Linked DNA regions of Arabidopsis thaliana. The protein of the gene in region 1 interacts with the protein of each later gene in a pairwise test. Each region holds a gene or a part of one and is shown in the gene's direction. Other genes may lie near its edges. The genes, in order: AT1G67430 and OBE1.

The links.
Region 2: the proteins of AT1G67430 (region 1) and OBE1 interact in a two-hybrid assay, tested with the Arabidopsis thaliana proteins (one large-scale study listed by BioGRID).

Annotation. Positions count from the first base shown.
Region 1 is NC_003070.9:25,259,541-25,265,443, forward strand, and holds AT1G67430 (Ribosomal protein L22p/L17e family protein), read left to right. Parts: upstream 1-2,593; 5' UTR 2,594-2,668; coding exon 2,669-2,671; intron 2,672-2,780; coding exon 2,781-2,817; intron 2,818-2,901; coding exon 2,902-2,942; intron 2,943-3,033; exon of another isoform or gene 3,034-3,166; intron 3,167-3,374; coding exon 3,375-3,605; intron 3,606-3,697; coding exon 3,698-3,800; intron 3,801-3,884; coding exon 3,885-3,952; intron 3,953-4,042; coding exon 4,043-4,087; 3' UTR 4,088-4,317; downstream 4,318-5,903. Other genes in the region: AT1G67420 (Zn-dependent exopeptidases superfamily protein), read left to right, coding at 1-103, 196-505, 589-818; emb1688 (Minichromosome maintenance (MCM2/3/5) family protein), read right to left, coding at 4,365-4,560, 4,659-4,843, 4,930-5,124, 5,208-5,426, 5,505-5,903.
Region 2 is NC_003074.8:2,481,509-2,488,368, forward strand, and holds OBE1 (potyvirus VPg interacting protein (DUF1423)), read left to right. Parts: upstream 1-2,945; 5' UTR 2,946-3,477; coding exon 3,478-3,500; intron 3,501-3,585; coding exon 3,586-4,685; intron 4,686-4,757; coding exon 4,758-5,368; 3' UTR 5,369-5,618; downstream 5,619-6,860. Other genes in the region: Hsp89.1 (HEAT SHOCK PROTEIN 89.1), read left to right, coding at 69-143, 212-316, 440-580, 677-769, 872-949, 1,077-1,331, 1,436-1,538, 1,629-1,803 and 3 more; AT3G07790 (DGCR14-like protein), read left to right, coding at 5,983-6,860. UniProt on the Arabidopsis thaliana protein: Probable transcription factor that acts together with OBE2 for the maintenance and/or establishment of both the shoot and root meristems, probably by controlling the expression of the meristem genes such as WUS, PLT1 and PLT2 and of genes required for auxin responses.

The DNA of each region.
Region 1 (5,903 bases):
GGAGTTCATTTTTAAGCATGCTCCGGAGGTGGCAAAGGAACTTCATGTTGGCCCTTCTTTTTCATTGGGAAACGCTGAAGCGTCTCCTCAAGAAGCTTGGATGGTACGTTCATTAGATTCGTTTCTATGTACATGCTATTGGTAAGATAGCAAGTGTTTTCAGTTTTGAAGTAAAGAATTGTTTGGTATCTGCAGGCACTTTTCCCTATTTCATGTGTATTAACAACAAACGGGAGGTTCCCTGCTAAAGCCAACAATATTTTAGAACGATATAGCCAATTCCCACTCCTACAAGCGCATAAACCGCAAACAACATTTGAAAATGGAACTCGCAGAGTTCATCTGGAGCTCTCTCTGGGGTTAGTTGGACTCCATAAAGAACTTCTATTGGTCTTGTTGGTTATTAACTATTCCATTTGCAGGTCGTTGGAGGAGATTTGGGTCACGGTTTTGAACATAACCGGACCGTTATCAGGGTGGTCCTTTGCCGATGGCAAACCTCCAGGTGACACACACAGAACCTCTTTTTCGTTCTCTTAAAGCATTTACTAAAAACCGTAAAACCAAAATGACTAATCGTTGTTGCAGCACCTGAACTCCCACCGGGTGGTCCTCCCTCGTACATATTGAGACTGAGTGGCAACAGCGATGAGAAGTGGAACTTCTGGTTAGAGGCAAGTAGTGAAGAAGAAGTGAGAGTAGATGTAGCTGTTCTTGATCAACGTCTTGATGAAGAAACTATACATTTGAAGGGTCTTTTCCCAAAATGGTCCGATGTCATTGCCTACACTAGTTTTCTTTCTACTTACTTGTTCTGATCGTAGACTATTTCATATTCTCCTTTTGATATTTCTAAAACATTAGAGAATAAATAAATCCGTTCTTAACATGGGAAAGTTTTTTTTTTTTTGACATCGGAACCGCATACTCTATTTATACCTAAATCATACTAACATGAGCAAGTCTTAAGTACATTTTCTTTGTTGATATAGTAATTGTGTACATTTACTTGGTTCTTTGATAATTTATAATCTTATACTTTGATTGGTGCAACTATAGTCTTATATCCTTAATTTAACTTTATCCTTAATTTAACTTCATGATCAAAAGATATAGTCTTGTTTTTTGTTTTGTTGAGAAGTTTCATTAGCATTATTGTCTACCGAGAGTAATACCACAAATTGATAGTTTCTCTGCATTTTTAAGAGAATAAGCTAAATAACGGACCTAAATACAAGTGGTCCTTACAATTGCAATTTGCAAATGAAAAAATTTAAAAGAGTAAGCTAAACAACCGTACTGACCTAAATAACAAACACATGAAAAACCACATAAATAACAAACACATGAAAAACCAATAGAAGTGTCTGTTACAATTACAAAGTCCACGTACATGCCACGAGGTAATGAATAAGTCTAATTGCAACAAAATAAATAATATTGTTTCATATAAATAATTTTTCAAAATATTGTTTTTATTTTTTTCGTTATCTTTTGGACTCAAATATGTGACAAGAGTAAGACTCTATAAACGACAGCTATTTTATCGTGGTGCGCCATCAAATAATGTGTCCTATCATTTCTAAGTTGAGCCACGAAGGTCAACGTTTCCGATGCATACCACCAAAACTCCTCCCTCGTGGTGCACCATCAAATAATCGTCAATCCACTCGTTAATATGTGTGATGATACGCTTATCAGCGATATCAGTAGATGTTGAATCAACTCTTCAGGTTTCAATGATATCGATAGTATACTTAGCTAGTTTCTCCCCCATGAAATCGATAGAGCTTCCTCCCAAGGTATTCAAGATCTTATTGGCTTCTACATATGAAGCAATCATTACTCATGTAGCAAACTTGTTAATCTTCTATATTTTCATTACATATAATATTTTACGTACAAGTAAGTCAAATGACATGACATGACATATGATATAACTGAGTAAGTAAGAAATTACGTATAACAATTAAGTCAAATGACATAGTAACCATTCGTGATTGTTGTCTCATATTTATATATATAAAACAAAAAATGAAGTTTTAAGCAAATGATCTACAACTAAAACAACATACTCCACCAATATATACAAAATACGTACACTTTTTTTTGATAAGTAAGTAGAATTCTATTGAACCTGATGAGAGTTGAGCATAACTCTATTCTTAGACCCGAAAACTACTCACCATGTTTATTTTAGAGATTTAATGATGGATTGGACAGTTTTTAGGCCATATTACATAGTAACAACTAATTTCAACTAAAAGAATGCAAGTTGGTTAGTTTAATACAAAACAAAATAGTGAAAATTGGATCTCTAGCTCATTTTCCGATTAATTAACTTATTTTCAAAAAAATTGTGGTTATAAGAACGAATTAATCAATTGCATTTCTTATAAAAAAAAGTAATGAAGAGAGATTTTACTTACATAAAATAAATACATCTGGCCTGATGAAACAAAAATGAGTAAGGATATCAACCTTTGTAATAAGTAATTGTTAATTACCAATTCATAGTCTTGATGGGCATTATTAGAAAGCCCATTAAAAATGGACAAGGCCCATTTAAACCTAGGTTTCGCAGGGTTTATTGCTTCACTCTTATATAAAAACTCTCGTCTTCACAAATCTCACATCTCTTCTGCAGCCGATTCTTCTATTAGCCGCCATGGTAATTGCTTAATTGCTTAAGCTTCTCAAACTCCATCTCTCTTCTCGCTGATTTGACCTAGAAATCTTCTTCCCTAATTTTCTTTACCCTGTCTTTGCTGATTTCGCAGGTGAAGTACTCGCAAGAACCCGACAATCAGACCAAGTGTAAGTAAAGCTCCTTGTATCAACTTCTTAGTACCATTTCGTTGTTTTGATCTTTGTGGTAATCCTTTGGTTTTGATTTTGCAGCTTGCAAGGCTAGAGGATCCGATCTTAGGGTTCACTTCAAGGTATGTATAGCTCTGTCAATTGTCATTTTGATTATTCGATGTAGTTAGATTTATGATTAGGAGATTGTAGTTTTAGGTTAAACCTGATTGAGAAAAAGCAGAGTTCTGTTGCAATTTGACAGATCTCACGTATACTTCAGGGAAATTGAATTGGTCATCGTGATTGGGTGAATCTATGTTTATATATCTCATAACTATAAGATTCAGTACATGATGGTACATTGATTTATCATTTCACTTTTTGAGGCTTGTTTATTTTTAGGGCTTTTGGTTAATCGCTTAGTATTGCTTTGTTATTGTTCTTATGTGAACCTATGTAGAATTTTAGTGACTTGTTGTTTTGGTTAGTGATTCCACATAATTAATACTGTGTTTTTGAATTTGTTGGTTGGTTCTTATTGTGTTTTGTTTTCTTCGGATTGTGTGAAACAGAATACTAGGGAAACAGCGCACGCAATCAGGAAGCTACCATTGATCAAGGCGAAGAGGTACCTTGAGGATGTGATAGCTCACAAGCAAGCAATTCCCTTCACACGTTTCTGCAGAGGTGTTGGGAGAACTGCTCAAGCTAAGAACAGGCACTCTAATGGTCAAGGACGTTGGCCAGCCAAGTCTGCTCAGTTTGTTCTTGATTTGCTCAAGAACGCTGAGAGCAATGCTGAGGTGAGACGAGCATTCATTTAATTAAGGAAACTTTTTCTTGTTTCTCTCTGTACCCTTTTGCTAATAAGCATATTTTGACTTTGAATGTTCAGGTGAAAGGTTTGGATGTTGATGCCCTCTTCATATCACACATCCAAGTGAACCAGGCCGCAAAGCAAAGGAGAAGGACTTACCGTGCTCACGGAAGAATCAACCGTAAGTTTGAGATTTTGTAAATCACTTACATTGATAGCTTTTTGTAATCCATTGTATGACTCAGTTTGTCTTTCTTGGTTGCAGCTTACATGTCCAACCCATGCCACATTGAGTTGATTTTGTCAGAGAAGGAAGAGCCTGTCAAAAAAGAGGTAATATATATTTCATCTCATTGGAAAAATTCAGGACTAGTGTTAATAACAACAGTGTTCTCATTTCGTATTTGTTTTTGATAATTGTAGCCGGAGACTCAGTTGGCTGCCAAGTCCAAGAAATCAGCAGCTTAAGCTTTCTTTCTTTATTTTCATGTCCCTTGTGTTCTTGAACGAGATTTTGTTCTCTTTTTTCTTTAGCTCGAATCGTTTTGTAAGACAATGGATAGATTTATCTTGGAAATTTTCGTTCTATGACTTATGAAATCAGTGATCATGGTTCTGCAAGTTTTGGTTAGTTCGATAGTTCGATTAGTCAATAATTCAGACAAACAAAAGAGCTGAGAACTTAAAAAGATCTGTACAATCTTTTACATCATGTGACTTAGTTATAGTGGAAACTTGAGTTCTCTCATTGTCTTTTATTCTCATTCTCAATGGCTTGGACGATTGGGTCGTTCTCTATGTACAAATCACTGTCTTCATCTTCGAACTCATCCAGCTCACTGATCATTGTCTGTTTCGTTTTCTTCCTTGACTCTCTCCTATGCTTCTTAGGCATTAACCGTGGTTCAGCATGTTTCACACCCATGTCTCCCACCTTGTACCTGTGTCAAGTATCATTCCAAAGTAAACAACATTAGTGACTGCGACCAATCTCAATCTAAAAATAAAGCTGTTCTTTCAGGAGAAATCCCAACAATACCTAACATCATCTTCCCTTTTGGTTCCAAAAGTCCTAAGCTGAAATTCTTCCCTGATTCTGATCTCATCAAGCAATTGTAAGTAGTAAGGATACCTTTCCCAGTCACCTTTCACAACACATCCTGGTTCCCCAATATGCAAGCAGTCTCTGAATCCACATTTTTCGCTCTCAATCATGTTCCGTATCTAAAAGAAACAATTAAAAAGTAACACATCGTCACAGTCAGCCAATAAGGGAGATTGGCACAAGCAAAAGGGTACAAAGAACAAACCTCAGGAAAACAGTGAGCTAGTGAATGCTTCGTTACTTTCAGCAAACTAGGCTGGTTAAAGCCAGGAGTATCAGCGAGGTAACCACCTTCAGAAACCGGCAGTAGCGATACATTTCGTGTTGTATGTTTACCTCTACCACTTCTACTCGAAACTTCCCCTACTCGCTGATCATCAAACCACTTATTACCTAACATCTGAATATCACAAAAGCTCAACTCATAAGAATCTGGCAAACAAAACTTAAGCTGTAAAATGAAATAACACAAAAGAACCTTACAGGCTCAAACCAATTCTCATCTTCCACCACACCACCACCATGATTACTCCTCAATACGTTGATTAAACTCGACTTTCCAACACCACTAGGTCCAACAATCACAGAAGTCTGATCTCTCAGAACAAACGCAATATCATCAAGTCCATCTTTAGTTCCCACACTACAAAACAATGGTTCATAGTTCCATCCACGCAACCTTATCTTCCAAGTTTCCAATTCCTGTAAACAAGTTTATGATTCTAATCAATCCCTAAACCAACAAAGTGATCTAAAATACAATTTCTTCATCCTCCTTACCTCTTCACTAATGAGTTCAGTTTTATTCAAAGCAAGTGTTAATGGAATACGAGTAGATTCAGCTTCCACCAAGAACCTAGTAAGAGTAAACGGCTCAAGTTTCGGTTGATCCAAAGAGAAAAGAACAAGCAAATGATCAACGTTCGCAACAGGTGGATCCAAAATCTCCGAACGTCGATGAAACACATTCTCAATCATTCCTCTTCTATCAACCCAATCAATAGATCCAACAAGAACCTTATCTCCAACTAAAACTCTCCTTCGTATTTTCTTCAACACAGCTCTCACCACACAAAGCAATTCAACACCAGTCTTTGAAGAATCATTATCATCATCACTCGTCACAGAATTAGCTACATCTTGAACAATGACGCGCATAAAGTTCGCTTGAGCTGTTGC
Region 2 (6,860 bases), on another chromosome or scaffold:
GCATCAGAAGATAGCTAGATGTGTAAGAAAAGTTGGCTTAGGGTTGGGGACTATTTTTCTTGTAACAGAAAAAGAAGAAGACCAAGAAGGTTGTTGAGAGATACTGGGATTGGGAGCTTACAAATGAGACACAACCGATTTGGGTAAGGACTTGTCAATGTATCTTGAGTGCACTCTGAATCAATTTAACAGTGTATTTTATTTATTGCAGCTGCGTAACCCTAAGGAGGTGACAACAGCAGAATACAATGAGTTTTACAGAAAAGCTTTCAATGAGTATTTGGACCCATTGGCTTCATCCCATTTCACGACAGAGGTATTTTCAAAGGAACACATTTATTGAATTGGATATTTCCATTAAACAGCCGAATTAGATCGTCTTTGTTAGACGATCCACTGAAATATAATGCTCTTTGATTCTCTTGTTGGCAATGCTCAGGGCGAAGTCGAGTTTAGGTCTATCCTATATGTGCCACCTGTTTCACCATCGGGGAAGGATGACATAGTCAATCAAAAGACAAAGAACATAAGGCTCTATGTTAAACGAGTTTTCATTTCAGATGACTTTGATGGGGAGCTGGTGAGAAAAGTTTCTTTTGGTGTGGTTCAAATTTCTTTCAAGAAACCTCTGTCTTTCTAATTATATTGATATCATTTTTGTGGTGTTTGTGGCCAGTTTCCTCGGTACTTGAGCTTTGTTAAAGGTGTTGTGGACTCGCATGATCTCCCACTTAATGTATCACGTGAGATTCTTCAAGAAAGTCGCATAGTAAGCGCTCATATCCAATTCGTATGCAAAGCCTTTATGATATATGTTTTGTTTTAAGTGCAATGCTATGTTAAGCTTACGATTTTGTATTGTGTCTCCAAGGTGCGGATCATGAAGAAACGTCTAGTGAGGAAGGCTTTTGATATGATTTTGGGTATATCCTTGAGTGAAAACAGAGAAGTATGTTTCATAACTCTTGTTCCCCTAAGCTTACAGTTTAACCTTTTTTAATTCCCTTTAGAAATCACTGCTACGTTCTGGTGATGATTTTCCTGACGAATGAGAATGGCATTGTTAACCTATACAGGACTATGAGAAGTTTTGGGATAATTTTGGCAAACACTTGAAATTAGGGTGCATCGAAGACCGTGAAAACCACAAGCGTATAGCTCCACTGCTTCGATTTTTCTCCTCCCAGAGTGAGAATGACATGATCAGCTTGGATGAGTATGTTGAGAACATGAAACCTGAACAGAAAGCCATATACTTCATTGCTTCTGACAGCATTACAAGTGCTAAGAATGCACCTTTCCTCGAAAAGATGCTGGAGAAAGGACTTGAAGTATGTGTTGTTCTTCTGAATGGGGCCTCGTTTTGTTCTTCCTTGCAAATATTCCTATTAACTCAGAGGTGATTGACATGTATTTCTTTGTATTGTGAACGTAGGTACTATATTTGGTAGAGCCTATTGATGAAGTTGCCGTACAGAGTTTAAAAGCTTATAAGGAGAAGGATTTTGTAGATATCAGCAAGGAAGACTTGGATCTAGGCAAGTGCCTGATGTAATTCCTTGATTTAGCATGTCAGGTAATCACTTATGTATAATAACAAATTCTGGCTTTGATCTTTGTATTGACAGGAGACAAGAACGAGGAGAAAGAGGCAGCAGTGAAAAAAGAGTTTGGACAGACTTGTGACTGGATAAAGAAACGATTGGGTGACAAGGTTGCCAGTGTTCAAATTTCCAACCGTCTTAGTTCTTCCCCCTGTGTTCTTGTATCTGGTAAATTTGGTTGGTCAGCCAATATGGAGAGGTAAGATCTGACCTTTTTCTTAAGCAAGGATTTCCGTTCTCCTTTTTTGCCCCTGGTGAACTAACACAGAATATGTTATCTGGACAGGCTAATGAAGGCACAATCAACTGGTGACACAATAAGCCTCGACTACATGAAAGGGAGAAGAGTGTTTGAGATCAATCCCGACCACTCAATTATCAAGAACATAAATGTGAAGTCACCATTCATCATAACTTGTACCTGGCTATTATAATTAAATCTAGGAGCCGCTTTTTGAGCTTGGCTTGTTTTTTTCTTGCACCCTGCAGGCTGCTTACAATAGTAACCCAAATGACGAAGATGCAATGAGAGCCATAGATCTTATGTATGACGCAGCACTAGTTTCTAGTGGGTTCACGGTGAGTCCTATTCTACATTAACATTCTTAACTTTTTGTTGTCTCTAGAATTGAAATAAAGTAAATACTGGTAAAACTTAATTGTTGTTTCTCAAAACTACAGCCCGATAATCCAGCAGAGCTGGGTGGGAAGATATATGAGATGATGGATGTAGCTCTTTCCGGGAAATGGTCAAGCCCTGAGGTGCAGCCGCAGCAACAGCAGATGGCACATTCTCACGATGCAGAGACGTTTGAAGCTGAAGTGGTTGAACCAGTCGAAGTGGATGGGAAGAAATGAACACAAGCCTAATGTTTTATGTCCCTGCTACGATTCTCATCATATTCTTCTTCTTTTATTAGTAGTAGCAGTAAAAGTAGAACCCCAAAACTCAGAACAATAGGCAATGAGCGAATGATAATCTCTATTTATGTTGGAGAGATTAATAATTGATTGAGCTTGTTTTTGTTCCAGTTTGTGTTGATCCTCCTCGGTATAATTTTAATAACCGTTAAGAAAAATTCAGTTGGGGTGTTTTTGGAAAGATTTTTCGAGTTTTATCTAACAAAACTAAAATTTTGGGACATATGGTAATTTTTAATTAAATAGAGGGATGTTGTTATCGTACGAATTGGGTTGGTTTAAAACTTTGTTTGGACAGATTCGACTCAAACGTTGAACGCGTTTAAAAAAGTCAACAAAAGTCGAAGGTTACCGGCTGGTCAGGTTAACCGTTAGAGATTAATGAACTGGCAGCTGTATGTCTTTTTTATAGTTCTGTCTTAACAGGCAAAAAAGTGTTTAATTTATCTTTCCTTTGGGTTTCTCACGGAGTCACGGTTCCTCGTTCGTCCTCTCCCGTCGTCTCTCCGGTGAGTCCTTAATTTTCCGGCGGTCTTTTTCCCTTTCTCGTCTGTTTGGTGCTTTCTTTATGTCTGAGGCGAATACAGCAAAACGTATCTGTTTTGGTTGTTGAGTTCGAGGCTGGTCCTGAAAATTCGGTGACAAAAAGAGTCAATAACTCTCGTGATCGAGTTGGATGCGTTGTTTTGAGGGTTGATTCAGTTTATGACTATGTATTTTGGTACTTGCAAGATTTTCTGATTTTATGAAGATTCGTGTTTGACTTTTATAGCGTATAATCTACGGGGCAAACAGATTCGAGCAACTTGTTTTTTTCTAGCGCTTGTTTTGTGTTTACTCTGTCATGTGTTTGTATTTTTTGAGCTTCCACTAGTGATTAATCATCTCAGCTCAATTTGAACATAGGAGATGTAGTTTTTATCTGTCGGTGGATTTCTAGGGATTTTGCAAAATGTTTTGGGCTTTCCTGAATTAGTATGTGATTTGGTCGTAAAGTATTTTAGGGATTTATGTGTTCCTTGGGGTGAATCTGACATTGACATTATCTTGGTGTCTGCAGCACTAAATTGATGGGCACATCATCTGGGTCCAATCTTCCTCACCAGATGCTACCTCCACGTCAGCAACTACAAACATCTCTTTCGCTTGTATCTTCAGATCCCCACTTGTCACGGTCTAATTCTGGCATTGTGCGTGAATCACCAGCTGAAAGTGCTAGCTCTCAAGAAACTTGGCCAACCTCAAAATCTATTATGGGAAGGAAGACAGATAGCGGAAAGACAGGGCCTGACTCTCATGATCAACATGTGATCCGCCATGTTTCCATTGCTGATAAGGTATCGCTACGGGACATAGCTAGAGAGAGACTTGACATAGTCGCTGAGAGAATGCATCGATTACCAGAAGAATATCTCGAGGAGTTAAAGAATGGTCTTAAGGCTATCCTTGAAGGAAATGGTGCGCAGCCTATAGATGAGTTTATGTTTCTGCAGAAGTTTGTCCAGACGAGATCTGATTTAACTTCAAAGACACTTGTCAGGGCTCACCGAGTGCAGCTTGAAGTTCTTGTGGTTATAAACACTGGTATCCAAGCATTCTTGCACCCAAACATCAATCTCTCTCAGTCATCACTCATCGAGATCTTTGTGTACAAGAGATGCAGAAACATAGCTTGCCAAAACGAACTCCCGGCTGATGGTTGTCCCTGTGAGATATGCGCTAATAGGAAAGGCTTCTGCAACCTGTGCATGTGTGTGATATGTAACAAGTTTGACTTTGCAGTCAACACATGCCGCTGGATTGGCTGCGACGTGTGTTCTCATTGGACTCATACGGATTGTGCTATTAGGGATGGGGAGATTTCGATGGGAGTTTCTCCCAAGAGCGTATCTGGGATGGGAGAAATGCTGTTCAAGTGTCGAGCGTGCAACCATACTTCTGAATTGCTGGGGTGGGTGAAAGATGTGTTTCAGCACTGTGCACCAAACTGGGATAGGGAATCTTTAATGAAGGAACTTGACTTCGTTAGTAGGATTTTCCGTGGAAGCGAAGATACAAGAGGCCGGAAACTCTTCTGGAAGTGTGAGGAGCTTATGGAGAAGATTAAAGGTGGACTGGCTGAAGCAACAGCGGCCAAGTTGATACTCATGTTTTTCCAAGGTAAGCCCACTCGCTATTGTTATATGATAAGGGTTTACTCTTTATAGACCTAACCATGTTTTGTGTATGAAGAAATTGAATTGGACTCTCCAAAGAGCCTTGAAAGCGGAGAAGGTGGGGGTACGATAGCACCTCAAGATGCATGCAACCGAATTGCTGAAGTTGTAAAGGAAACACTGAGGAAAATGGAGATAGTGGGTGAGGAAAAGACGAGGATGTACAAGAAAGCGCGAATGGGGCTTGAGGAATGCGAGAGAGAGGTAGAAGAGAAAGCAAAGCAAGTGGCGGAACTGCAGATGGAGAGGCAGAAGAAGAAACAACAGATAGAAGAGGTGGAGAGGATAGTGAGGCTGAAGCAAGCAGAGGCAGAGATGTTTCAGTTAAAAGCAAACGAGGCAAAAGTGGAAGCAGAGAGATTGGAAAGGATTGTGAAAGCGAAAAAGGAGAAAACAGAAGAGGAATACGCAAGTAACTATTTGAAACTGAGGCTGAGCGAGGCGGAGGCAGAGAAAGAGTATCTGTTTGAAAAGATAAAAGAGCAGGAAAGTGGTGGGAATGGTGGTGAAGCGTCACAAGCAGTGATGTACTCAAAGATCAGAGAAATGCTGCATGGATACAATGCATCGTCGCCAAGGGTAGATCCAAGATCAAACCAGCGAAATCCTTTCAGATCCAATCCTTAGATGTTTGTATTGTCTCTCTTTGTTTGTATTAAAAAAAAAATCCGAATCAATTAAGGTTGGATTTGTGTGTGAAGTATTGTGGTCTTTGTATTCAAATTTTGCACATGATCGTCTATGTTGGGCCATAATGTTATGCAAGCTTTGACACAGAGTGTTGCCAAAATCTCGATACTTATTCACTCGGATTTAGAGAATTGTGGATTTCGCTAATGGAGGGAGATCCATGTTACCTTAAATAGTTTATATTTGAGCCAACATGAGAGCCAAAGAACATCGCCACCGACTTTAAAAAGAAAATATTTTGCCCAAATGGATATTACAGAGTAGTTATTTGCAATAACGTCCTCATGTTTGGGTTATAATAACGATTTGATTTCTTACGGGGTATAAAGCAAAAGGAATCAAAACGTTTGGGGAAATAATGTAATATTCTGGAAACAAAACGCGTATAATCGGATTGATAAGGAATATTATATCATCGCCGATGCAATCATCGACCATCGTTTTGTTTTCCTGTCTACCCAAAAACAAACCCTAGTGTCCGAATTCTCGACAAAATTCATCGGCTCCAAATTCCATTCGTGCTTTTTGAATTCGCGTTCTTCTGATTCAAGATGTTTCTTTCACCTGGTCATTCTCCTCGTCAGATTTCTTCTCCATCGCCGTCTTCTTATTCCGATGATACCCTCCGATCAACGCCTCGCAGTTCTTCCTCGGAGATCATTCCTCGAAACCCTAGAAAACGGATGAGAGTTCTCGATGAGGACGCTTATGTTGAAGCAATCGAGAAGATCATCGAGCGTGATTACTTTCCAGATATAACTAAGCTTAGGGATCGGCTCGATTGGATCCAAGCGGTGAAAACCCGTGACCCGATTCAAATCCGAGATGCCCAGTTGAAGATTATCGAGAGGCGTGGAAAGAAGGCGAATCATCATGTTGGAGATACCGAGGGTAAAACTCAAACTCCTGGATCTACTTTTCTGAGAAATTTCACTCCTTTAGATGAATTTGATGGTAAAACCCCTAGAACTCCTGGAGTATCTGGTAGAGAATTTCATGGTGTTGAAGTAGATGCTGGTGATGGAGATGAAGATATAGATCTTAATTTGTCCCTAGATGAGTTCTTTAGGAGATATACTAGTGAGGATAACGAGAGCTTTTCGAAGATTCTTGAGAAGGTAAATAGGAAGAAGAAGGAGAAGTATGGCTTTCTCCTTGAAGGTGAAAAGGAGGATGGTAAATCTATTGAGGATGTGAAGAGAGATAGGATTACAGATGGGTATGGTACATCTGATCAGCCACCGAGTACTTTAGAAGGATGGAAATATACGGCGAAGAATCTTCTGATGTACCATCCAGCTGATCGGGGTGAGGCGCCTTTAACTGAGGCGGAAAGGGCAGTGAGATTACTTGGATTGACTAAGGAGATAGTTAAAGGGAACACTCGTTTTCATGGTAAGACTATGGATTCTAGGCCAAGAGAAGATGG